Linked DNA regions of Oryzias latipes. The protein of the gene in region 1 binds, or shares a complex with, the protein of each later gene. Links are inferred from orthologs where the notes say so. Each region holds a gene or a part of one and is shown in the gene's direction. Other genes may lie near its edges.

Region 1 (5,978 bases):
GTTGGTGCTGATGCTCTGCTGTTTGTGTGTCTGCAGCTCCAAAGGTGGACAGAGAGCAGGCAGACGGACCGTCTGCTCAGATGAGATCAGCTGCGTCCTTCAGGGTGAGAGCGGCTCACTGAACGGACGGGCTTCACCTGTGACCCTCACATGAACTTGAGAAACACATTCACCTCCCTCAGCAGAACGCTGACGCCTTTCTCTGTGCTTTGCAGGTGGACTCCAGGAGCTTCAGGAACGGTGAGTGTCTGATGTTCAGTTTGAGCAAAGCGGGTCTATGGTGTGATTCTGTGTGTTCTTTCAGATGATCTTTTTCAGAAGGTTCTGAAGAGCCACTCCAGCAGGGCGATGAAGAACAGCCAGTAATGAGACAAAAAGCAGGACCATGAGGACCTCTGAGGGACCAGCCATCAGTTCCTCTGATACCTGGTTGGTTTGAGGTTCTGGGTGGGCTTTCTGTTCCTGTGTGACAAGGAGAAATGCTGTTTCTAGAAGTTTTTACATTTGTTACCAAACCAGTGTTTTGTGCTGAAAAAACAGTTCATTCACACTTCCTGAGTGGTCTTTTGTAAGGAGTATTTTTCCTGGAGTCCTCCTGTCAAACAGACACTATGAGGAGAACCTTCAGGAGCTTTCCTTTGAGTTTTTGTAAAATAAAGCTGAAATGCGACCTCGCCATGTCTCTTGTGTCCATTTTGTCCAAACTTTAGGACTCTGTGATCCATAAACCACGATGAGAAAACAGGGTTTTATTCAGAAATAGAACACTGAGAACCAATAGACAAGGAGTGTTAACTGCCAGACAAACAGAGATGACGGGTGGGGTCAGAGGGGGGGCTGAGAACCTCCTCATTTCTCAACATAAATATATATACAAACTCAATCACACTTCTGTGTAATCCAACTCTCCACACTACACTCAATTTCCTCCCTCTTTTATAAGTGTAGAAATAGAAATAGAAATATCTTTATTGTCATTGTACATGTACAACGAAATTACAGTGCAATTTTTTCCGGTGGTATAAAAAGTTAAATTAAGAATAAAAAAATAAAAACTAAACTGCGACATAAGACAATATAAGAAAGATATGTTAAAACTATAAAAAGGAGGTTGCACCTTCTCCAGTTATTGCAAGTGTAATAGACAATGGGTGGAAATAGTAGGTGATCAGAAAGACACCGCCAATAAAGGAGTAGTTCTGCAAGTGATGACCACAGACAACTTCTCTGTCCTTATGTTTTCTGGTTGACGGTTTCTACGGTGTCTACAACCCACAGAAGTGGCCCAGGAAGTGCAACTCATCCAGGATGGCACATCAATGCAAGCTGTAGCCAGGTTTGCTGTGTAGAAGTTCCATCAGGAGACAGGCTAGTACATCAGGAGATGTGGAGAAGGCCATAGAAGGGGGGCCAACCCTGCATCAGGACCACTGCCTCCTCCTTTGTGCAAGGAGAAACGGGAAGAGGCCTGCAAAATAACCTCCAGTTGACCACAAATGTGCACGTCTGCTCAGAATGGTAGAAACAGACTCCATGAGGTCGCCAGGTGGGAGTTGTGTTGACAGCCCAAAACCGTGCGAGACATTTGACATTTGCTGTAGAACACCAAGCTTGGCATAGTCACTGTTGACACAGTCTGGAGATGCGGTGGAGAATGCTCTGCTGCCTGCAATATTGTCCAACATGAGCGCTTTGGCAATGGGTCAGGTATGGTTTGGGGCGGCATTTCTTTGGAGTGCCACACAGCCCTCCATGTGCTCACCAGAGGTAGCCTGACTGTCATTAGGTACTGAGATGAGATTCTCTGACCCCTTGTGAGACCGCATGTTGGTGCGATTGGCCCTGGGTTCCTCCTAAAGTAAGACAGTGCTAGGCCTCATGTGGCTGGAGTGTCAGCAGTTTCTGCCAGACGAAGCTAATGATGTCATGGACTGGCCCGCACACTTTCCAGACCTGAATGCAATTGAGCACATCGGGGACATCATGTCTCGTCCATCCACTAACTCCTGGTTGCACCCCAGACTGTCCAGGAGTTAGCAGATGCTTTGGTCCAGGCGTCAGAGAAGATCCCTTGGAGGACCACCCGCTGCCTCATCAGAAGCGTACCCAGGCATTGCAGGGGAATCATATGGGCATGTGGAGGCCACGCCCACTACTGAGCCTCATTTTGACTTGTTTCAAAGAAATTACATTGAAGTTGGATCAGCATGTAATGTTCACACATCCAGACATCCATAGCCGAATAGTTTTAATTTCCATTACTATTTTTATTTTATTGTGTTGTCAGGACATGCAAATATGTAAAGAATGAAGCATTTCAAAAGAATATTTCATTTGTTCAGGCATAGCATGTCTTTTTTAGTGCTCCTAAATCGTTTGAGTTGTGTACGTGTGTGTGGGTGTGTCTGTGTGTTACACTATTGAGACATTTTTATACTACTTTTTGTTTCTGTAGAAAATTATTTTACCTTTTTTCAAAGACGATTATTTTAGAGGAAATTTGGTGAGACCTGGATTTATCCAAAACGTTTTGAAAGGTGTGTCCTTTAAACAGGAAAATTCTTATAATTTAGAAAGCGCTATTGTTCCTCCTGGTCACCAGGGGGCGCAAAGTAAGGATCTGATATAAACAACAAAAAGAAGAAGACGACCATGAGCACGACAGGAGGCATGTTCGCCGTTCTGAAGGAGAAAGTTGGACAGGTTCTGGTTCCGGGGGACGAGTTCTGCTTTGGTGCAGAGGAAACGATCTCTCTGTCGGAGAGCGCGAAGCCGGAGCGCGCGGTGTGTGGACCAGGGCTGCGGCGGAGCGGAGACCGCCTGGTGGTGATGAAGAGCGGCGTGCTGCGGCACAAACCGCCGCTCACCTTCTGGATCGATTCCCAGCAGAAGCGGGTAAGAGCGGACCGGTCCGAACCAAAGGTTCTGAGATCCCAACAAACTGCGTTCAGCGGTCCAGAGACGTGTTTAGAGCATTAATGTGAAGCGGTCCGGTCACAACCAGCATTCAAACACAACTTTATTGATAGCACTTCCTGATGAAATCCACCTCAAGTGCTTTATATAACAAATAGTAAAAATATCAGTTACAAATAACAAAGTATAATCAAATAAAAACCAAATACGCGTCAAGCTAATACATCAAAATAAACTAAATTAATTATTTATCAAATTAAAACATATGGACTGATACAGAGATATGGGTTTTGATTCGATGCACTCAACTAACCAAGAATTTAAAAAAATCCACACATGATCTGCGTATTTTCAATTTAGACCCAGATTATTTATGCAAACACAAGTTTCATTTTTGCAAACTTGTGTTTGCTTAAATAATGTACTTTGTTGTGAATAAATGTGTCCGCGTGCGTTCGTTCCATTGATCCTTAGGACAGTGTTTTTCAACCTTTTTTGAGCCACGGCACACTTTAACCCTGAAAAAAATCCCGCGGCACACCATCATCCAAAAAAAAAAAAAAAAGCAGAAATTCATGGTCTGTATTGATCGACAGCGCCCCCCCCCCCCGCAATCTCACGTGAATTTTTGTGATAATTGTGGCAGAAAAAGCAGGAATTTGCGGCTGTTTTTTTCTAAGAGATGAACCACCAGCTAAAGCTCGTCTTTAGCTGGTATATTTGTTAGAACTGAGCGACTTTATCAGCAGAATTAAGAACAAGGAAGTGAAGACTTTAAGCACTTCTGATTGGTCAGACTGATGACATGTGATTAAGCCTTCAAGAATGATTGGCGGAGACAGTTAAAGGGGCGGGACTTTTCCTTACACAGTTAGAGCTGCAGCTAAATCGCGGTACCGTGATTTTTATCAAAATCTCTTTAATAGAATTAAATAAACACAAAGAAAAAGTAATTTTAAGATCTTTTATATTCCTAACTACTCAGTGTTTTATCAGGGCCTGTTTGGATGAACACAGAGCTGAAATCCTGGAGATGGAAAATGTTTTTAGATCAGTTAATGAGGGCAATTTCTCCACGGCGCACTTGACCATCTCCCACGGCACACTAGTGTGCCGCGGCACACTGGTTGAAAAACACTGCCTTAGGAGAATCGTAGTGTGACGTCACCCATACAAATGGCTTACTGGCTCAAAGATGAAACAAACAGAGATGCTTGTCCTCCCCGAGCAGCAGCAGGTGAGCAGCAGAGTAGAGAACCGCCCCGTGTACTGATGATGGGTTGGTTGGCAGTGAAACATCTCTAAAGTCGGATCTTGGCGTTTACTATATTATTTCACCCATTTTGACTTAATTATTCTCTGTGCTGCACATGACTGCGTCTCTGGTCAGCGTGAGTTGGCGCTCAATGCACTCTGCAGGTGGGTGCTGGGGTGGTGTTGGTCCAGTAGACCTGCAGCTGCTCAGAACTGCACAAACGCCAGACGTATAGAGAGAGAGACAGGCACAACTCATTGTCATGGAATACCTTAAGTCAGAGAAAATGAACATGGAGGCATTAAATAATTCTTTGTGTTTTTAAAAGAGTGGATTCGACAGATGTGATCATAGGCGTAACTGATTTGTTTCCACATCTCACTTTGAGCAGTGGCCTATAGACCACATGTGTTGTAACTTTTTTGTGTATTTTTTCACATTGTTGTCTGAATTCTAATAAAACCAGGTTATGTCTTGAGCCAGGTTCAAATTTGCACAAGGTCATTTCTCTGAATATAAAGTTATATGAATGACAAGAGGATCTTGTTTGTGAAAACTGTTTTTTGCCTTGAGAATCTGTATGTGAGAGGAAAAAAAGTGGAGTAACCGGTAGGCAATTACCGTACTAAATAGGTGAGTAAAGTAATTTAATTACAATTTTGTAACACTAAGTAAACAGTTACTTTTTAGAAGTCATTTTCCCAACACTGATGCCAATATGACGTCACCCGTTTCCCTAAATAGAAAGGTAATAAATATGAACATTTTATGACGACTTTATGAATCTACTGTGTTCTGATGATGAAAACCTAATGGTTTATAAAAAATAGTGGCCAATCAGGAGTGAGCTTGTTTGAAGGTCACACCCCTATCACTTGAAAGCAGGCTACATAAAATCTGTCAAATGTTTCACACATTCAATGTGAGAAGTTATGTCAATGGGATTTTGGCTTCTTGGAGCCAGCGGGTTCTTCCTGTTTGGAGCATGAGGAGGGAGGGGTCCTTCAGTCCAGTTCTCGAATAGTCAATGGTTTGTTCTCCTCAGTATGTCGCCACTAAAGGGGAGACCGTGATCGGGATCGTGACGGCCCGAGCAGGAGACACCTTCAGGGTGGACTTTGGCGGCAGCGAGCTGGCGTCTCTGTCTTACCTGGCGTTTGAAGGAGCCACCAAGCGAAACCGACCCAACGTCCAGGTGAGTGTGGGTGGGGCTCTGTGTGCAGTCTGCTGTGTGCAGTCACTCCAAGGAGCCACTCCTGTGGAGCTCAGCACTGCAAGGACCGTTTTATTTGCCATCTGAGTCCATCTAGAGCAGCGGTCTCCAACCCCCAGGCCGTACAGACAGAATAAATAACTTACAGTGCTTCCTTTTTATTTATTTTGGAATCTGACAGATGTTTTATTTTGAAAAATTGCCAGATTCTCTGTTCCATCCGTCAATGTCACTCCTGGCGCAGGCCAAGGCTCTCTTTTCTGTCACATGATAGGTTACCACTAAAATAAAACCAGGTACTAGCAAAATGACTAAAAAACAAACGTCTTTGGAAAGTTTCTTTACCAAGGTGAAAATGCCCAGCCAGGAGACGGAAGAGGAGCCTTCTACTTCCAAAAAAAAAGCTACATTCAATAGACAGTACTTCTTTTTCACACCATGAGTGTGGAAAGGGGAGAGGATGATGACACCTGTGTGATGTACAATGACATGCGTGCCAAAATAAAACCTCAGGGTTCGTCTTGTCAGGTGTCTGTTCCTCCTTCATCGTGTTGCTGCAATAATCGTCCGTCACATCTGCGAAAACTTAGTGTG
Region 2 (5,797 bases), on another chromosome or scaffold:
TCATCATTTATTAGCAACAGAATAACAATGTTATTAAAAAGAATCCACAGACTTATTCTACTTTAAAAATGTTGAAATTAAATCAAATGCACATATTCATTTGTATATTTAGTTTTAAACAAATTGTCGCGGACTGAGTTGGATGGCTGTTGGGCAGCGTTAAAAGTTCTGGAGTTCATTGAACGCGTCAAGCAGAGATCTGATTGGCTCTCAGTTCTGTCGCTCAGCCTGTTGTTAGGTAGTTTGGACCAATGGGGTTCAGCTATGGGCCGAATAAGGGAAATGGGAGGGGCTGCAGCGGGAGCAGGGGAATATAAAGTTGGGAGAAGCGTCTCGGCGGGAGAGATTCAGGAGTTGCTGAATTAATTGTACGGCGTTTGTTGCGGTCTGCAGTAATCGGAATAAAGAACTTTAAAAGAGGTTAAGTCTCCGTGCCTCAGTGTGGGAAAGGGACACTACATTATTGTATGGCTCTTTCGAAATTACATTTCAAAATATGTGGCATTTATGGCTCTCTTGGCCAAAAAGGTTCCCGACCCCTGCTCTAGAGGGATATTAGATAACTTTAACAATGTATTTTTGTTTATTTATTATTGCTTTGGTGTTACAAAGCAGTCTTATACATAAAGATTGTGCAAAAATAATAATAAAATAGGCCAACAAGACATCTAAAGAGGCCCTATGGGAAATTTACAGGCAATTTAAAGGTGCTTAGTGTTTGAGAAACAGGTGTAATCCAATGAAAAACTAACAAATATTTTTAAAAAATTCTGTAGGATGAACATAGCTCTGCTGGCTGTGCGTAATAACCCCACGTGATGTGGCCTACTCAAAGAGTATTGACGTGTAACAGTCGTCAGCTGTCAGCGTCACGATAGATGGACAGGTATTTGCCGACACACCTGGGGAAACCGAAACACGCTTCGGCTTGTCGTAAAGTTTGACCATCAGGTCGTAAAGAGACAAACTTAAAACAAAATCATCAAAAGACCCCTACACAGAGTCACTATTTTAATAAAGATCGTACAGTGACTGCATAAACTAAAGAAACTAAATGAACCTCCCCTGATTGTGTTCGTGCAGGGACAGCTGGAGCAGCGCGTGCGTTCACTTCACTTCACGACTTACCCGGCTGAACCAGATGCTGATCTGGGTTTCTGACACCAGGGCGAAGTAAAACCTCTGAGAGCTGGGCTGGATCTGGAAAGGCTCCTCTTCGCTCCTCAGCGGACAAAGCAACCTCCGGGGCCAACCGGTTAGAAAATACATGACGGCGCTCTTTAGTTCGAGCAGGCAGCGCAGCAATCCAGATCCTCGGTAGTTGCCTCTACGGGCGACTCATAGTGCTTTCGTCGAGACAAAAACACTACTAAAGAGCCCGGTGATGGCGCTGGGCAGGTTTAATCCACAGATTCCATACAGAAATACCAAAGCAGCCGACTGAGCTCCACGGCTAGCCCCGGGCTAGCATTGGATTTTCAAACTTAAAGCTAGCGAGCGGTGCGCGGTGTCCCCGAAAACAAAAGCGGCGAGGCCCGTCGCGACACCGTGCAACGCTAAATTGTGCCCGCTGTACCAGTATGCTGGCCAATCCGCTTTGCTCCCCGAGCTTTGTCAGTTGTTACGCTGTCTGGACCAGTGGTGTTCATTAAGAGATAAGCGTCCAGTTTTTACTCCACTGAGCCTCACTGTCGCCATCTTTACAAAGAGTCTATCCATCTTAACGCTGATTGGTCAGCCGCACGAAATTTGCTTAATGTTGACATCCAACGTCACCACTCTGTTATGTGACAATGGCTGCTGCGTGACACGAGGGTGACACCTAGTGGTCAAGTGAGAAGACATCCAGAAAGAATGTATTGTCATGGAGTTTCATTAATTTCTTTAATGAAAAAAAGAAAGAATAGAAATATGGAGTCCCATACTGTTCATAATTAAATAAATAAATATTTAATTAAATAAATAAATATGACCTCATGCAAATAGCAATGTGAGCAACATGATAAAGTTACAGTATACGAAAAAAGAAACAGAACTCAGCTGATTTCTTTTTATCGAAGACCAAATGTGACATTAATGGACAATAATTTGGTGCCAAACTGCATGAAAAAGAACGGAATTTTTTTCTAATTTGGAATAAAAAATAAATATTTGTGAGGATGGATATTATTTCAAGATGTGCTGCACAAGATACACTGTAGTAGTAACTCCATACCACAAGGAGGTGCTAATGTAGCTATAACACGCTTTTAAGACGCCAAAGAAGCAAGTGGAGGAAAGTTTTGTGTTAGCATAATATGCTGTTTGGTTGGCATTTATTACAAGTTTATAGGGTAATCATTTGTTAATTTAAAAACAAAAACAAAGATTCAATAACTACGTACACCATTTTTTTTTGCATTTTTAAACTTAAATCTGACTTAAACGAGTGTGAAAGAAGCCATAACCAGAAGAGTTGCGGTAACAGCATGGCTCTTGATATGAGATTACCGACTGTGAGGAAAACGGTGTCTCTGTCAGCTTCCGCTTTCGACCGAAAGGATCTCGTTGTTCCCGGAGACATCATCACTTCGGACACAGGTTTTATGAGGTAGGTTCTGCTTGCGTTTTGGAACACGTGTTTGATACCACGCTGATGTAGTACGGTAAGCTACATGCTAAAAAGAAACTCAGAACACACCAGAACTTATTTAGATGTGTCTTTGATCTGATGGAATACTGATGAAGGATAAGAAATTACATCTTTACATGATTTTAATAAACCATAACTACAATTTGTCGTTTTCTAGGGGGCATGGCACTTATGTTGATGAAGAAAAGCTGACAGCTTCAGTTGCTGGAGAGGTGCAGAGGGTGGACAAACTCATCTGTGTCAGACCACTGAAGACCAGGTGAGTGTGAAGGACAAAAATCTTCAATGTTTATGAACAATAGAATTGGTTGGTGGATTGACCCATTCAGATCGGACTAGCCCCACTTTTGCAAACATTCTTTAAGATCATTTGTGCGTCATTTTAGATTTAATGGCGAGGTTGGAGACGTTGTGGTCGGCAGAATTACAGAGGTGAGTTATTCCAACTGTTCTCTAAAAAGGCAAAACGAGATAACAATTTTTTTTGTTGTTGGATTCATTGTATCTGTTTTTGCTAATAATCTTTTCAATCTGTTTGATTTGATGGTTATATACAGGTGCAGCAGAAACGTTGGAAGGTGGAAACCAATTCCAGACTGGACTCTGTCCTCTTGCTGTCATCAGTAAACTTGCCTGGAGGAGAGCTGGTGAGACAGAACTGTGTTGTTTAACGAGAGAGAAGCGTTACAGGATGAGTTGAACTGCATGCTCTTTTTTGTTGTTGTTTTGTTATACAGAGGAGGAGATCAGCAGAAGATGAGCTGACCATGAGAGAATATCTTCAGGAGGGTGATCTCATAAGTGTACAGAGGATTTTCTAGTCTTTTTGCCAACATTTCCCCCTCATAGTTTTTGTCACTAAAGACTACTTTGCTGTATTTTCTCACTGTTTTTAGGCAGAAGTGCAGTCTGTTTTTTCAGATGGAGCCTTGTCATTACATACTCGCAGTTTAAAATATGGAAAAGTAAGTGCACAGTGTTACTATGTTGATATCTCCTTTTGGTAAATTTTACAGAGCTGTTTCCCTGTTGTTGTTATACATGTTGAATAAATTTGTGTTTCTGGCCATGTTCACACTGCAGGCTGAATCCAATTTTTCTGCCCCTATGCGACCTGTGTCTGATCTTTTTATGACAGTCTGAGCGACACAGATCAGATCTTTTCAAATGCGACCTCCGTCTGAATGGCCAAGCCACATGTATCCGACCCGTAAGTCATTATTCTGCGTTGAAGTAGGCGGGAACAAGAACATGAACATCAACCATGCCGGACGATGCTGGTGAGACCAGTCATTGGAAGGCAAGCAAGGTCACCGATTGGATTAAAATTTGGGGTGACAGCTCTATTCAGGCCAAACTCGAGGGCTCTTATCGCAACCGGGCGGTTTTTTGAAAAAAATTCCAGCGAAATGGCCGAGCGTGGGGTTGAACCTTCCTGGCAATTACTTTTTTTTCCCCTTTCTGACCGTGGTCAGAAGCGCGGGGGACCGAAGGCGGATCCTCCTTTGGGCGTTCATTTCCCCGTTCGGACCCTCAGATTCTCTAGAGCAGTTTAATAAAGAGTCAATAGCAGCCTTTTTTTATTATCGTTGTCCTTCCTCCGTAACACACAACATGAATGCGCACAGCGCAGTAGGGAATGCTGCGCTGCACGTGCTCTCTCCTCTCTCTTACACACACACACACGTGCTCGCGCGGCCCCAGCACATACACATCCCCATTCCACCACAGTGGGTACAGACGATCCTGGCTCCAATGCCTTCTTAAAATGAGAAGATTGTAATTGTGCTGGCTCCATCTTGAAAATAAATGTAAACTGCAAAAAGAGCTCCGCTGTTGACAACACTGTAGTTGACATCCATTGCTAACGTTAGCTACTTCCGCAAACAACGAGTGATGTCGTTCCCCGTTGAGTACTCTTCTGCGCATGCGGGTCACTTCTGGGTCATTTCACGGTCACACAGGAAATCACAAAAGTTCGCATTTAATTGGAAATGTGAACAGCCTTGCAAGAACATCGGATTTTTTCTAAAAAATCAGAATTGAGCATTAAGCCCTGCAGTGTGAACGTAGCCTATAGGTACCGGTATATCATTTTTTTTCTTTTCTGGGTCTCTGTATTCTTGTTAGCTGGGTCAGGGAGTGCTGGTGCAAATTTCACCTTCTCTGATCAAGAGGCAGAAAAGTCACTTCCATAATCTTCCATGCGGTGCATCTGTTATCCTTGGCAATAACGGCTTTGTGTGGTTGTATCCCACACTGGGACAACAAGAGGAGGAAGCTGGAGGTTTCTACACCAGTCTTGAGGTAACTTTGTAGGTTTATAAATATTTTATGTTTCAAAATGATCAAAAAGTGTCATCTAAAAAGTGTTAATTGTTTTAAAAATATTTTAACTGATTGAGGCTTAGCTTTGATTCCCATTCTCTGGCTTTTGCTGTGTCATCTGAAGAATCCTTATTGAATGTATCTTTTTCTTTGCACCATTGAATCATCCACCCCATCTAACCCCATCTCCCCTCACACCAATCACCCTCATGTCCTCCTTTATTACATCCATAAACCTCCTCTTTGGACTTCCTCTAGGTCTCTTTCCTGGTAGCTCCAATCTCAGAATCTTTTTACCAACATCATCATTGTCCCTCTTCTTAGTGTGTCCAAACCATCTCAATCTACTTCTCTGCATTTATCTCCAAAACATCGAATACAAGCTGTTCCCCTGATTTTTTTTTCCTTCCTAATCCTATCCATCCTCATAACTCCAAAAGAAAGCCTCGGCATCTTCATCTCTGCAATCTCTAGCTCTGCCTCCTGTGTTTTTCTCAGAGCCCTTGCCAAGACTGAGGCTGCTCTAACCAATCGTTTGCGCCTTTCTGTTCATTGTTGCTGAGGCTTTTAAAAAAAATGTAATATAGCTAATGTTGTGAATCTTTAAGCTTTAACTGATATTCACTCTACCTCAATCACAGTTCTTTGCTGATGTAAATCAACTCAAAACTAAGATCGTCTTTGAATGATAGTCATTTTGAAAATGATATGTTATTCTCCTGCTTCTGGTAGATTTCCCTAAACTAAACTTAAAAAAAAAATCAATTTGTGGTCTTTTTCTTTGCAGCCTGTTAGCCTGTCAGATCGAGAGGTGATTTCACGGCTGAGGAACTGCTT
Region 3 (5,337 bases), on another chromosome or scaffold:
TTAGTAATCAATATTGCGGGGACAATCATGTATTATGATACGTTAACAAATAGCAAAAACTATTATTGCCATTTCACGGCAGCAGTTTTGTTTAAACATAAAATTATACTCCAAATGACCAGCTTCTACATGGGAGCCAGACAAAAAAAGGGCTCCATTCGATTGGTTGACGACATAAAGATCCATCTGATTGGTTAAATGCATGAAGGGCTCTGTTTGATTTGCTGAAAGCTTCAAGCTGCTATAAGATACTTTATAAACACTTAAAGACCCACTCACATTCGGTTTTTGATGTTTTTAAGATGTTCTTGTTGCATTTATCTCAGGATGGAGGACATTTAAAGAAAGTTAAGGTTAAAACTGCATTACAGGTTGTTGTTTTTTTTTTTAGAATCCTGACTAGGTTTGGGTGTCTGTCAAAAAGTCCTGACTAAATCACAATTAAATTAATAAATTCAAAATTCTTAAATTCAATCAAGTAAAAAAAGGTTTTCAGTTTTATTTATTTCCATTCAAAAATCTACTTTGTTCTTGTTTTACAAAACAAGCGATTTAAGTTAAACAAAATGTGGAACTTTTGTAATCAAAATGAAAAAACTATTTAATAAAAAAAAAAAAAAAACTGGAACTGCATTTTCTATTCCTTTAACCGCAGCGCCACAAAAACACCAACATGTGGAAATGGGCTGAAGAAGAGAATTCCCATCTGACAGCTCTGCTAAAAACAAACTCCTCAACAAAATAAACCTCCCATCGGCTTTACAGAACAAAGAAGATGGTAATCAAAACACGTAACCAGCAGCCAGAGCAAGTGGAAAAACTAGTACAATCATGGGATATTACCTTTAGTAAGGCGTGCGTAATAAACACAAACCAACATGATGAAACCACAAAATCATAAAAAAAAAAAAAAAAATATCAAGACTGATTCAGAAAAACCAAATGCAGATTTATTCTGCAATTGCAGCATTGATGGTCAGGTAACACTGATCTAAACACATGGAATAGCCAAAAAAAAAATGACAATAAAATATTAATTACGTCTGTTGTTATGTGCTCATGTAAATATTTTTTAAAAACATTTTACGGTTTCCAACTCTTCAGAGCCTTGAGGAAGCGTTAATGCTATTGCACTTGGTTTCTTTGTCAAACTGGCAACAGTTTCTGTGTCAGCAAATTGAAATGAAGCCTGAAGAAATCGTCTGTTTTCAAACCACAAACCGCCAACGACGCTGAAGTTAGCTTCCGATTCACAGCTTCCGATTCGCGAGGGCACAAAAGAAACATTCCGCTGCAGTTTTCGCACTAAGACCACCCTAAAACCGGGTCCTGTTCAAAAGCCGCTGGACCTGGACTGCTCAAACCTGGATTAAATTATACATTAGATACTAAAGAACACATTAAACACCGTTTCAGATTTGTGAAACCTTCCTCTGATTTGTGAAAATCTCAAATAGGTTGATTTTTATCGCATTTTACGCACTGAGTCCAGTGGACCTGGTCTAAGGTGGACTCAGTGCGTAAAATGGGATAAAAAATCAACCTATTTCACATTTTCACAAATCAGAGGAAGGTTTCACAAATCAGAAACTGGGTTTAACGTGTTCTTTACTATCTAAATTATTATTTAATCCAGGTTTGAGCAGTCCAGGTCCTGCGGTTTTTGAACAGGACCTGGTCTAAGGTGGACTCAGTGCGTAAAATGCGATAAACATCAATCTATTTCAGATTTTCACAAATCAAAGGAAGGTTTCACAAATCAGAAACTATATTTAATGTGTTCTTTAGTATCTAATGTATAATTTAATCCAGGTTTGAGCAGTCCAGGTCCAGCGGTTTTTGAACAGGACCCGGTTTTGGGTGATCTTAATGCGAAAAATGCAGCGGAATGTTTCTTTTGTGCCTTCGCGAATCGGAAGCTGTGAATCGGAAGCCAACTTCAGCGTCGTAAACCGCCATTATACTGACAGTCATCATTTCTTTCAAACTGGCCCTAAAACTATACTATATTTCGAAGCAAAGGTAAGTAAAACTATTTGGAAAACCTTTCATTCTAAATCTGACAAATCAAAATGCACTAACTGACCTGACGCTAGCAAACTGCTATGCTAGCCAGTCAAAAGCAACCGCTGAAATTTCCGTCCCTGCTAGTGAATTTGGAAGTCAACTATGAGGGGAAAACTAACCGGCGAATCAACACAGTGAGTGTCATTTACCCAAGCAAGTAGTTTGACTCACATAAGATGCTGTTATCACAAAACGAACCGGTCACAGCTCCCCAAAACACCGCTTCAGTCCACGCTGCTCGCTCAGAAGGGAAGTGCAGAGGCGATGGACACGCCCACGGACGCCACCTATTGGTTCAGATGTGCAGGAAGCCGGCGAACGCTCAATCCCATTGGTCGAGCCAAGCTGTCAGTTTTAGCCGAGCCCGCCACATTAGTGGTGCAAACTCCTCTGCTGTGGTTGATGCAATGAAAAAGACGCAGATGCCAACTAGCACGTACAATTTATTTTAGTTGTGCAACGAATAATTAATTTCTAACAAAAGTTATACACATTCGAAGCATTTCTAGCTAAAAGAAAAGGCGTAACGGAATTTTGCTTTGACTAAATTGCTAAGATTTAGCTATTGCGTGTATTTTATTTACTGTTACAAATAAAATATGTTGAAAATTAAATAATACCATCAGAATTAATTTATTTTTTATGAATAAATTCAAATTAATAAAGATGATGAAACATGACAACACTATCGGAACAAGCGGAACCGTGTTGCTGTGGGGACAGATTTATTGACGGACCGATCCCTGAACACCCGCTTCATTCGGTTCACGTGAGAAGAGATCGCCATGCCGACGGACACCAAACGTGTACGCGGGCCCGAGGTGTCTCAAAGCCCGTCTTTGTTTGACTGCAGACCCTCTGTGGTTCCCCCGTCGCATGGGGCCCGAGCGGACGGCCGCCAGCGGGACCAGGTGGACGTCCGGCCGGTGTTTGTGCGCTGCGGCCTGGTGAGTCAAGCTAAAGGTTCCGCGTACATAGAAGCTGGAGACACCAAGCTGCTGTGCAGCGTTTACGGCCCGAGAGAGACGGAGCGGAAAGATGAGACTGACATGAAATGTGGACGGTATGTAGTGGTCTTCATCCAGTTTTATAATGGAAGACTAATAGAAATATGTTTGCATTCAATGATATAACAAAGTAAAAAATAACTATGTGATAAGGCTGTAATTGGATTCTGCTAGAATTAGTAAAATAGAAAATCAGTTTAATTTTTTAAACAATACATTTAAAGTCAAAAGTTGATAAATCAACACATCTGCTTAACCAGACTGACCACAGACATGCGCTTCGCCCCGTTTTCCTGTCCGGAGAGGGGCTCCTGGATCCAGGGGAGCCAGGACAAGAACTTCTCCCTGATGCTGCAGGAGAGTCTGCAGCCGGCCTTGTGCCTTCACAAATACCCCCGCTCCCAGATTGAGGTCAACGTCATGGTCCTGGAGAACAGCGGTTCGGTTCAGGCCCACGCCATCACGTGCGCCTCCCTGGCACTGGCTGACGCGGGGATTGAAATGTACGACCTGGTGCTGGGCTGCTCCATCCGACAGGATGGCTCCTCCTACGTGGTCGACCCCACTTACTCAGAAGAGAGCAACTGGAGCAGCAGCGAACACCAAGGAGGGCTCACCGTGGCGTTTCTCCCCAGCCTGAACCAGGTTTCCGGCCTGCAGTCGGATGGAGAAATGGCTGAAGAGACTCTGACGGCAGGGATTCGGACCTGCATTGAGGGATGTTACAAACTGTACCCAGTAATCCAGCAGGCTTTGGTTAAGGCTGTGCGCAGAGCGCAACCCCCACCACCCGAAAGCTGAGAGGCAAAGTCAACACTATTTTTTGTCTGAGTCTTCAACAAGAACTTTAAAATTCAAAACAGTTTTTCACCTTGTTTCTTGATCTGAGGTGAAAGGATCCGCCAGCGTCCCCCTGATCTAAGAAACAGATTGATCCTATTTATTCATTTCTCCACCGTCTGCCTGCAGGACAAAACTTTGAGTCAGTTTGTTGATTTTTTTTTTTCCCCCCATGCCCCAAAAATCTAAATAAGGTAAACAAAGTTTTTCCTGCTCTTTATGCTATAGGGGAGAAAAAAGAAAACAAATTATGAAAAACTGAGAATGACTGGTTTAAAAAAAGAAAATGTTTTAATGCAAATGTCTGTTTTGTTATTTTAAAAATAAAAATACAGAATAAAAAATAAAAAATCCTAGTCTTTTTGTATTTTGGTTAGCATTTTATCACAGAAATGTATAATACAGAAGGTCAGATTGCATTTGTTTGCACATTTTCTTTAAAGAAAAAGTACCAAACTCCTATTTGTTCTCCAAAGTGAAACTCAGCTTGGATATTATATGGTAATGTGTCACCCGTGTTTTCATTCAGGATCTGATACTACGCTTTGAATTGCTCCAATTCAGGAAAAGTGACACAAGCTCCACTACCTCAGTATCATTTGCCCATCGCTAGTTTGTAATATTTATTCCATTTTTTCCTGTTTTACTAAATAGTTTTCTTCCTTCTAGTCTTTCCTAATAAATACACCGTAAAAAAATACATTTTTTTATACATTCTTGCTTCAAATAAATGTCACAGATCTCCCAGAACAACAGTGAATACTTTATTTTCTAAGACAGCAGCAAACAGTTGAACATTTCTCCAGAACAAACACATTTAGGGGGAAGAAAGAAAAACGTGTTTCCAAACCCTCCTGACTCTGAACTCCACCGACGCGACAGCGAGGCGCGCGTGGCGCTCCTCTGCTGCTCACAGCTGCGAGGTGAGAGTCATGACCGTCTAACGCAGCCTTCCTCGCTCCGCAGCTGTCAGTCACCGCTGCTTCAGCCTGCAGCCGCCGTGACTGGGTGGGGGTCAGGATGTCGTCGGGGGGGAGGCAGTGCGGGATTGGTGGCTCGATTAAACTGTGAGATGTGATCGAAGGAAGATTTGAGAGCCACACAACAAACAAATGAACAGATGTGGTTGAGTTGCAGGTCCAAACTGGTGTGTGTGTGTGTGAGGTCAGTGTTTGTGTGTCGGGGTCGCCCGCTCTGAACGCCTGTTGGTGTGTTTTTATCTGTAGGCCCTGCTGTGCCGCGGGTACGGCGACATGATTGCGTCCACGCTACCTTCGCTGTCCGAGCTGCTGTCCGAGTCGCTGCTGCCAGAGTACGCACAGAGTCCCGGTAAAACGCCGACACACATGGCGGCGGATGGCAGGTGCAGGGTGCCCTGACGGGATTTCACGGGAGTAGTGGCCGTGTTCATGGTGAGGGAGGC
Region 4 (6,053 bases), on another chromosome or scaffold:
AAAGGTTTTACTCAAACAGGTACTTCTACATTGTCAGATATGTGCTCCATTACAAATAAGGGTACTGATGAAAAGGTATTCAAGTGAAAGATAAAAGTAATTCTAAACTATTACTGAAGGACCCACTCCAATAAAAATGGTGTTTCCAATATTTTCTTGTAGCATGTTTCTCATAATGGAAGTCATATGTAAAACAACTTAAGATTAAAACTTTGTTTCTGAGTATTTATTCAAAATGTGATGGATAAGGAGTAAAAAGCCATCATTTGAAAAGGCTCAGGTTTGTGACACAGTAACTGGCCAAGTCTCCCCTCTCTACTAAAATTCTCAAGCATCCACTTGCAGACAATAGATCCAGGTACGTTTTTGTTTTCCTCATCTGAGATGATATCTAGCTCCAAACAGTATGGCTAGAAAGCTCCATTATGGATTAAGGAAATGTATTGAAATTTAAAGAGCAGGGGAGTTTCTGACTGGACTGTTTAACAAGATCTTGGAGAGTGAAAAGATGTCTAAGAAATGGAGAAGAGTTCTATTTTTAAGAAGAATGCCGACGGCAGAGTAGTAGAAACTAAGGGGAATAAAGAGTCAGACAAGGAAGTTATGATAGTGGAAGCAAGACTGAGAGTAGAAGTGAGCATTTGTGAGAAATAGTATGGTTTCATGTACAGAAATAACCACAGATGTAATATTTATTTTGAGGATGCCTCTGTAGAAAGACAGAGAAGATCAGAAGGAGCTGCCTTGAGTCTTTACAGATCTAGAGAAAGACTATGACAGAATATAGGGAGAGGTTGTTGGTTCCACCTCCTGTGGTTTGGATGAGGAAGTCAGGAGTGGCGGAGAGAGAGTTGAAGTTCCTCAGGACTGTTTTACATTGAAGTGAATGGCTATGTGATTTCTTAAAAACAAGACATTTTCAGAACCATCCTAAATATGACAGTGGGTGGACATAAATCAAAAATCCATACAGAAGAAGTTTGTTCTGAATTTATTTAAAAGGATACTAAATTAGTTGAAACCGTTTCAAGAAGGTTTTTATCAAAATAATTGTGTGCTATTTTTTTTAGAAAAACTGGAGTAAAGATTGATTTTATTTCCCTCTTATTATTTTCACTCATCAGGTTTTTCCTTTGAGTAGGACTACACAAAAGAAGATCAAACACGATCCCAATGACGACATCTCGCTCCAGCCAAATGAAATATCATTTTTTCCCTAATATTTGGAGGACTACAGATTTCTTAGTCGCATTGGTACGTTTCTCACTACAGTATTAAAGTTTGCAGCACTTCTAAGGCATTTCTCAAAACAGATTTTTCAAACTGCAAAACTCGATGCACAACCTGCAAAAGCGAGTCACTCTTTCAGAATGGAAAGTCAAATTCTGGAAAGGAAGTCAGTAGTTAAAAAATGGGTAGTTCAAGCTGCAAAAGCAAATCCCTTAATCAAAGTGGATGAATTGATCTTCAAAGTCAAGTATTTATGTCAGTGAAAGTTTCAGTGTCATCAAAATAACAAGTTATGACTCCAGCATCTTTGAACAATCAAGTCAAAAGGTTTATACATGTTTTCATTGAGACAGATTACTCTAAAAGTGCTTCCCAATACCATGTGAGACAGCATTACATACCACGAATGGCGTTTAGAAAACTGGAGTTTAATAAAAAATGAAGACACTGTATATGCACTTCTGCTGTAGACTCACAAAGGTCTTTTTTTAAATCTCTTTCTGCATGGTTTTCCTGCAATCCAGGCCATAGTTCATATGTTTTAACAGAGGGGAGTGGGAAGGGTGGGTTGGGTTTTTACTGTAATATTGTGTGTTTTCTGTTTTTAATGCTAAAGCGCTTCGAGCTGCACAAACGCATGAGAAGCACTATTTTATAAATAAAGTTTGATTTAATTTGATATGACATGGTTTACCACATGATCTTCAAGTCTTGCCCCATACTGAATGTAGTGACTGACCAAAGCTGTTTGTCTGATGATCATTACACAAACTAAATGACCTCCCTCCCAAAGAAGAAAAAAAAAGAAAGAAAGCAAGAAAACAAAAAAAGGGGAACACCAGTACTTAGTTTGACAGATTATCTCTGCTCATTAAGTCACAAATTCTCTACTTTGAATGGACATTAAATTTGTTGTTCAGAGTTGTTGACATTTGCAATATTACCGTTTGTGCGCAGAACAAAGTCATTTTATTTGAGCAGAATTAACAACTTTGTCATTTATAGAAATAATTCTAAATTAAACTTGCCAACAAAACCCAAAAGACTAATTAGAAACGAGAAAAAAATCGTTTTTAAAAGCTCTTTTTTATGCAGCCCACTTCTAATAAAAAAGTTTTTGTTAAATTGTATAAAATATTAAATTACTTCCAAATAAAATTATATATATATATCGATACAAAATTAACCAAATTATTTGTTTACTGCTACACCGTCACGTTTCATGCCCATGCGCACCTCTTTCGGACACACCCTCCCACTCTGAATTAACCAATCAGAGTCGCCTCGCGCCCGTGAAAAGAGCCAATTGAGTGGTGCGCGTCTTCCGCAAACATGTCTCCCACGAGGCTGTGCGTTCCAGGTAAGTCTCCGTAAAAACCGCTTTTAGCGGTTTTCTATTGGTTTTGTGTGTTGTTTTTTTGTTAATCCCGTTTGTGAGTCTGTCACTGGGACGCCAGAAAATGGCGTAAAATTCTCCGTAGCGGTATAACGTGTAAATGTTGCTGCCATAGCTACGCGCGATTTAGCTCGTCTTTGCGCACTCATCGTTTAGGTAGTAGTAAATTCGTAGATTTGCGTTTGTGTGCATGCTTATATTTCCCTTTTCTTACTTAGTTTGGGCGCGTGCTCGCATTTTCTGAGCTCCGAGACACGTGAGGGGGCGGGGAAGGCTCGACACGTGAAGGACTGTGACTTTTCCCACCCCCGAAAACTATGCAGTCGATCCTTAGGATCACGTGGTTATAGCGGGGCCCCATGTGGTCCCCTTCAGAAGTTCGGACGGGTACAACATTTTAGAATATTGACTATTGAAAGCTGCGTCATGCATCAGCAGAAATGTGGTGTTCGTCTGAAACAGCTTCTAGTCAGTTAAGTCCTGCTGTCTTTGTACAACAGTTCATCATCATTCACTACTGTGTCAAACTTAAGGCCAGGGGGCCAAATGTGGCCCTCCGTGTTATTTTATGTGGCCCGCGGGAGCATGAAAGTTTTTAATTTCTTAAAATGAAATGTTTTTTTAGTTGATTACATATTATTTGTGTAGCTGCAGTTGTAATTATACAATGTTTGCCGGTCTTGTGTGTGTATGCAGACAAATTGTTGTCATCAAACCATCAGTTGGATGCAAGGCTGTGAGCAGCCTTTTATTGTAAAATGTTACACGTGTAATTAATCTTCTTTCTAGCTCAGTTTTAAGTTATTTTTCTTTTTTCACTTGGACAGTTTGAGCGTGGGTTTTAATAAGCAGACAAAATGTAGAAGGATTTATGCTAAATTAACAAGCAAACATGTTTTCTATGCAACTGTAATTGTCACTATAAAACGTTATATTTAATAAATGAGTTATTTAACATTAAGGAGTAGTTACGTCTATCTTTCATTACATTTGGTTACATGTATAAGTTATATCTGGCCCTTTGAGGGCAGCTGTTATGCTGATGTGGCCCTCAGTGAAAATGAGTTTGACACCCCTATACTAATCAGTATTTACCTGTTTAATCAATTTTGAAAAGACGTATTGAAACTGTAGTTGGAAATGTGTCTTTTTAATAGTGTAAATATTGAAACAACAAAGCATTTAATGTTAAACTAGGAAAAGGTGAACATCCTGAGGAACCTTTTCAATAATCGGATCCAATATACATCTTGAATGTTATATTTGTCATTTAAACTAATGGCAGAATAAACAAATGTATAATTGCAGATGTCATGCCCCTCCACACACATGGAATGGACTCATAAATGAACCTTTGAATCTGAGCTGTATTTTACATACTTAGAGCCTGAAGATTATTTCACTAAACATTCAGTTATATATATATACTCTAGCTCCCCTTCCAATATACTATTTATGAAATCTCTATAATATTTATTTCCTTGTTGGAATTCAAAAACAACAATGTAATAAATAATATTGTTTATTGTTTGCTGTTTTGCATATGCATATGTATAAAGGAGCTTTGTGCCTCTGCTGTGAGAAAAACGAAGCAACTATTGCAAAGTTTGCAATAATTTCAAATGGAAAATTATCAATATTGAAAGAAAAACAAGAGGGGGGGGGCAGACACATGACAGGCTCTGATTGATTGAACACACCTGATCAGATAATCTGCTCTAGAAAACAGGTAAATCCTGTGGTTTTACTGTGGTTTGGCAGGAAGCCCCACCTTCATTCTGACCATCTGTGTCTCAGGTGACAAACTGTGCAGCGTGGAGGACTGCATTCTGGGAACTGGAGTGTATCTGCGGCACGGCTACATCTACTCCTCTCTTGCAGGCTACGTGCTGAAGAAGAATGAGGGGGAGCAGGTGAGGAGGGGTGGATCTAGCAGAGTTGACTTGTTGACACATCTTCCAAGTCTGTAGTTAAGGGGATTTTCCTTTAAAGAGAGAGAGTATTTTGTTTTAATTTTTTTCAAATTTGGGGACAAACTGTAGTTCATTTATCGTCCAGCCTTACCATTAGCCTGACTCCACCCACCCTCTAATCCAGAGGGATCAAAGTTTGGGATGGAACGGGGTGATGACGAGTCTGGTCCGCACTGGTTCTCGTGCACGTTTGTGGTGTTTTACAGTTACCTGTGATCTCTGTGGTCAGAGAAACAGAAGTCCAGCTGTTGCCAGATGTGGGCGCCATCGTCACCTGTAAGGTAGGAGGGGGGGCTGACACAGGTGGGACCTACACTTTTAGCCTCATTAGGAGATTTTTCCAGGACTTTGTCACATTCATGGTGCTTGTTTGGTAGCGGAATTGTTTGCAGATTAGAAATATAGATTATCATAGATAATTAATTAAATTTATTTTTTTAAACAGAAGAAAGTGCGATGATGACAAAATACATGTGGTAAATGGATTCAGTATTCCTGCCTTTGTCTTTGCTGTTTTCCTGCATGTTTTTAAAATCATAAATAAATAAAAACATCATAACTAAACTCACAGCTGTAGACTCCCTTCTAGTCTAAAGCAGCTCCACATTTGAAACTGGGTTGCATTTAGCATCACAGTTTGACATCTTTTCTGTCTGTTGCTGAACCACAGGGAGACTTTCAAAATCAAAGACGTGTTTGTTTTCAATACCTAGAACAGAGAGGAGGACTGGTGTTATTACGCCATTTGGAAGCGGTTTCACACTCACATGTGTGAACAAATATTAGCTCCTATTTAGACTGATTCTACAAGAGAAAAGCTTTTACAGCACTTATGTAATCAAAGGTTTTTCCAAAGCTTTAGCTGACACCAAATTGCAGATAAGATGATGTTTTCCACATAGTTGGTTAGGTTTTGTGGGACAGATGCTGGACTTCTCCCTGCCAGAGAAAGTTGTTTGAATCCCAGAAGCTTCTAGTCTGAATATGTGAGTACATCAAGCACACATTTTAATTGTCAGATCCTTCATGTTACAGGTGACGAGCATCAATTCCAGGTTCGCCAAAGTGCACATCCTGTATGTGGGCTCCACGCCGCTCAAGGACCTGTTCAGAGGAACCATCAGGTGAGGCAGAGTGGACGCAGCAGATGTGGCTGTTTTAGTGCTGTCTGACGCTCTTCTGTGTGTTCAGGAAAGAAGACGTTCGCGCCACAGAGAAAGATAAGGTGAGCGAGATCCGTTTGGCCCGGCGCCGTCCGTCCTTGCTGGTCTGACGTTGAGCTTTGTTTAGGTGGAGATGCACAGAAGCTTTAGACCTGGGGACATTGTTCTGGCCAAAGTGGTATCCTTCATATTTCTTGATGCTCCGCGCACAAAGCTCAGAAGCTGGCATGGCAGACCTTAACCTGACGCTAGATTTCTCTGGGAGACGTTCAGTCCAACTACCTGCTGACC

Evidence for each region. Proteins that work in one complex are often made in the same cells at the same time.
Region 2: exosc3 (region 1) and exosc2 share a complex: the UniProt entries of both Homo sapiens proteins name them as parts of the RNA exosome core complex. The link is inferred for Oryzias latipes from reciprocal best matches to the Homo sapiens genes EXOSC3 and EXOSC2.
Region 3: exosc3 (region 1) and exosc6 share a complex: the UniProt entries of both Homo sapiens proteins name them as parts of the RNA exosome core complex. The link is inferred for Oryzias latipes from reciprocal best matches to the Homo sapiens genes EXOSC3 and EXOSC6.
Region 4: exosc3 (region 1) and exosc1 share a complex: the UniProt entries of both Homo sapiens proteins name them as parts of the RNA exosome core complex. The link is inferred for Oryzias latipes from reciprocal best matches to the Homo sapiens genes EXOSC3 and EXOSC1.

The regions. Positions count from the first base shown.
Region 1 is NC_019868.2:3,162,259-3,168,236, forward strand, and holds the start of exosc3 (exosome complex component RRP40), read left to right. Parts: upstream 1-2,620; 5' UTR 2,621-2,652; coding exon 2,653-2,895; intron 2,896-5,216; coding exon 5,217-5,366; intron 5,367-5,978. Other genes in the region: tgfbi (transforming growth factor-beta-induced protein ig-h3), read left to right, coding at 37-104, 216-240, 305-366. UniProt on the Homo sapiens protein: Non-catalytic component of the RNA exosome complex which has 3'->5' exoribonuclease activity and participates in a multitude of cellular RNA processing and degradation events.
Region 2 is NC_019870.2:12,829,288-12,835,084, reverse strand, and holds the start of exosc2 (exosome complex component RRP4), read left to right. Parts: upstream 1-2,229; 5' UTR 2,230-2,468; coding exon 2,469-2,590; intron 2,591-2,789; coding exon 2,790-2,891; intron 2,892-3,018; coding exon 3,019-3,064; intron 3,065-3,189; coding exon 3,190-3,279; intron 3,280-3,369; coding exon 3,370-3,435; intron 3,436-3,528; coding exon 3,529-3,597; intron 3,598-4,762; coding exon 4,763-4,939; intron 4,940-5,747; coding exon 5,748-5,797. Other genes in the region: ric1 (RAB6A-GEF complex partner protein 1), read right to left, coding at 1,129-1,269. UniProt on the Homo sapiens protein: Non-catalytic component of the RNA exosome complex which has 3'->5' exoribonuclease activity and participates in a multitude of cellular RNA processing and degradation events.
Region 3 is NC_019864.2:25,017,630-25,022,966, reverse strand, and holds exosc6 (exosome complex component MTR3), read left to right. Parts: upstream 1-2,473; 5' UTR 2,474-2,852; coding exon 2,853-3,130; intron 3,131-3,334; coding exon 3,335-3,875; 3' UTR 3,876-4,069; downstream 4,070-5,337. Other genes in the region: protein FAM192A, read right to left, coding at 5,131-5,337. UniProt on the Homo sapiens protein: Non-catalytic component of the RNA exosome complex which has 3'->5' exoribonuclease activity and participates in a multitude of cellular RNA processing and degradation events.
Region 4 is NC_019859.2:28,377,040-28,383,092, forward strand, and holds the start of exosc1 (exosome complex component CSL4), read left to right. Parts: upstream 1-2,485; 5' UTR 2,486-2,562; coding exon 2,563-2,590; intron 2,591-4,423; coding exon 4,424-4,539; intron 4,540-4,805; coding exon 4,806-4,880; intron 4,881-5,634; coding exon 5,635-5,723; intron 5,724-5,790; coding exon 5,791-5,824; intron 5,825-5,889; coding exon 5,890-5,940; intron 5,941-6,014; coding exon 6,015-6,053. UniProt on the Homo sapiens protein: Non-catalytic component of the RNA exosome complex which has 3'->5' exoribonuclease activity and participates in a multitude of cellular RNA processing and degradation events.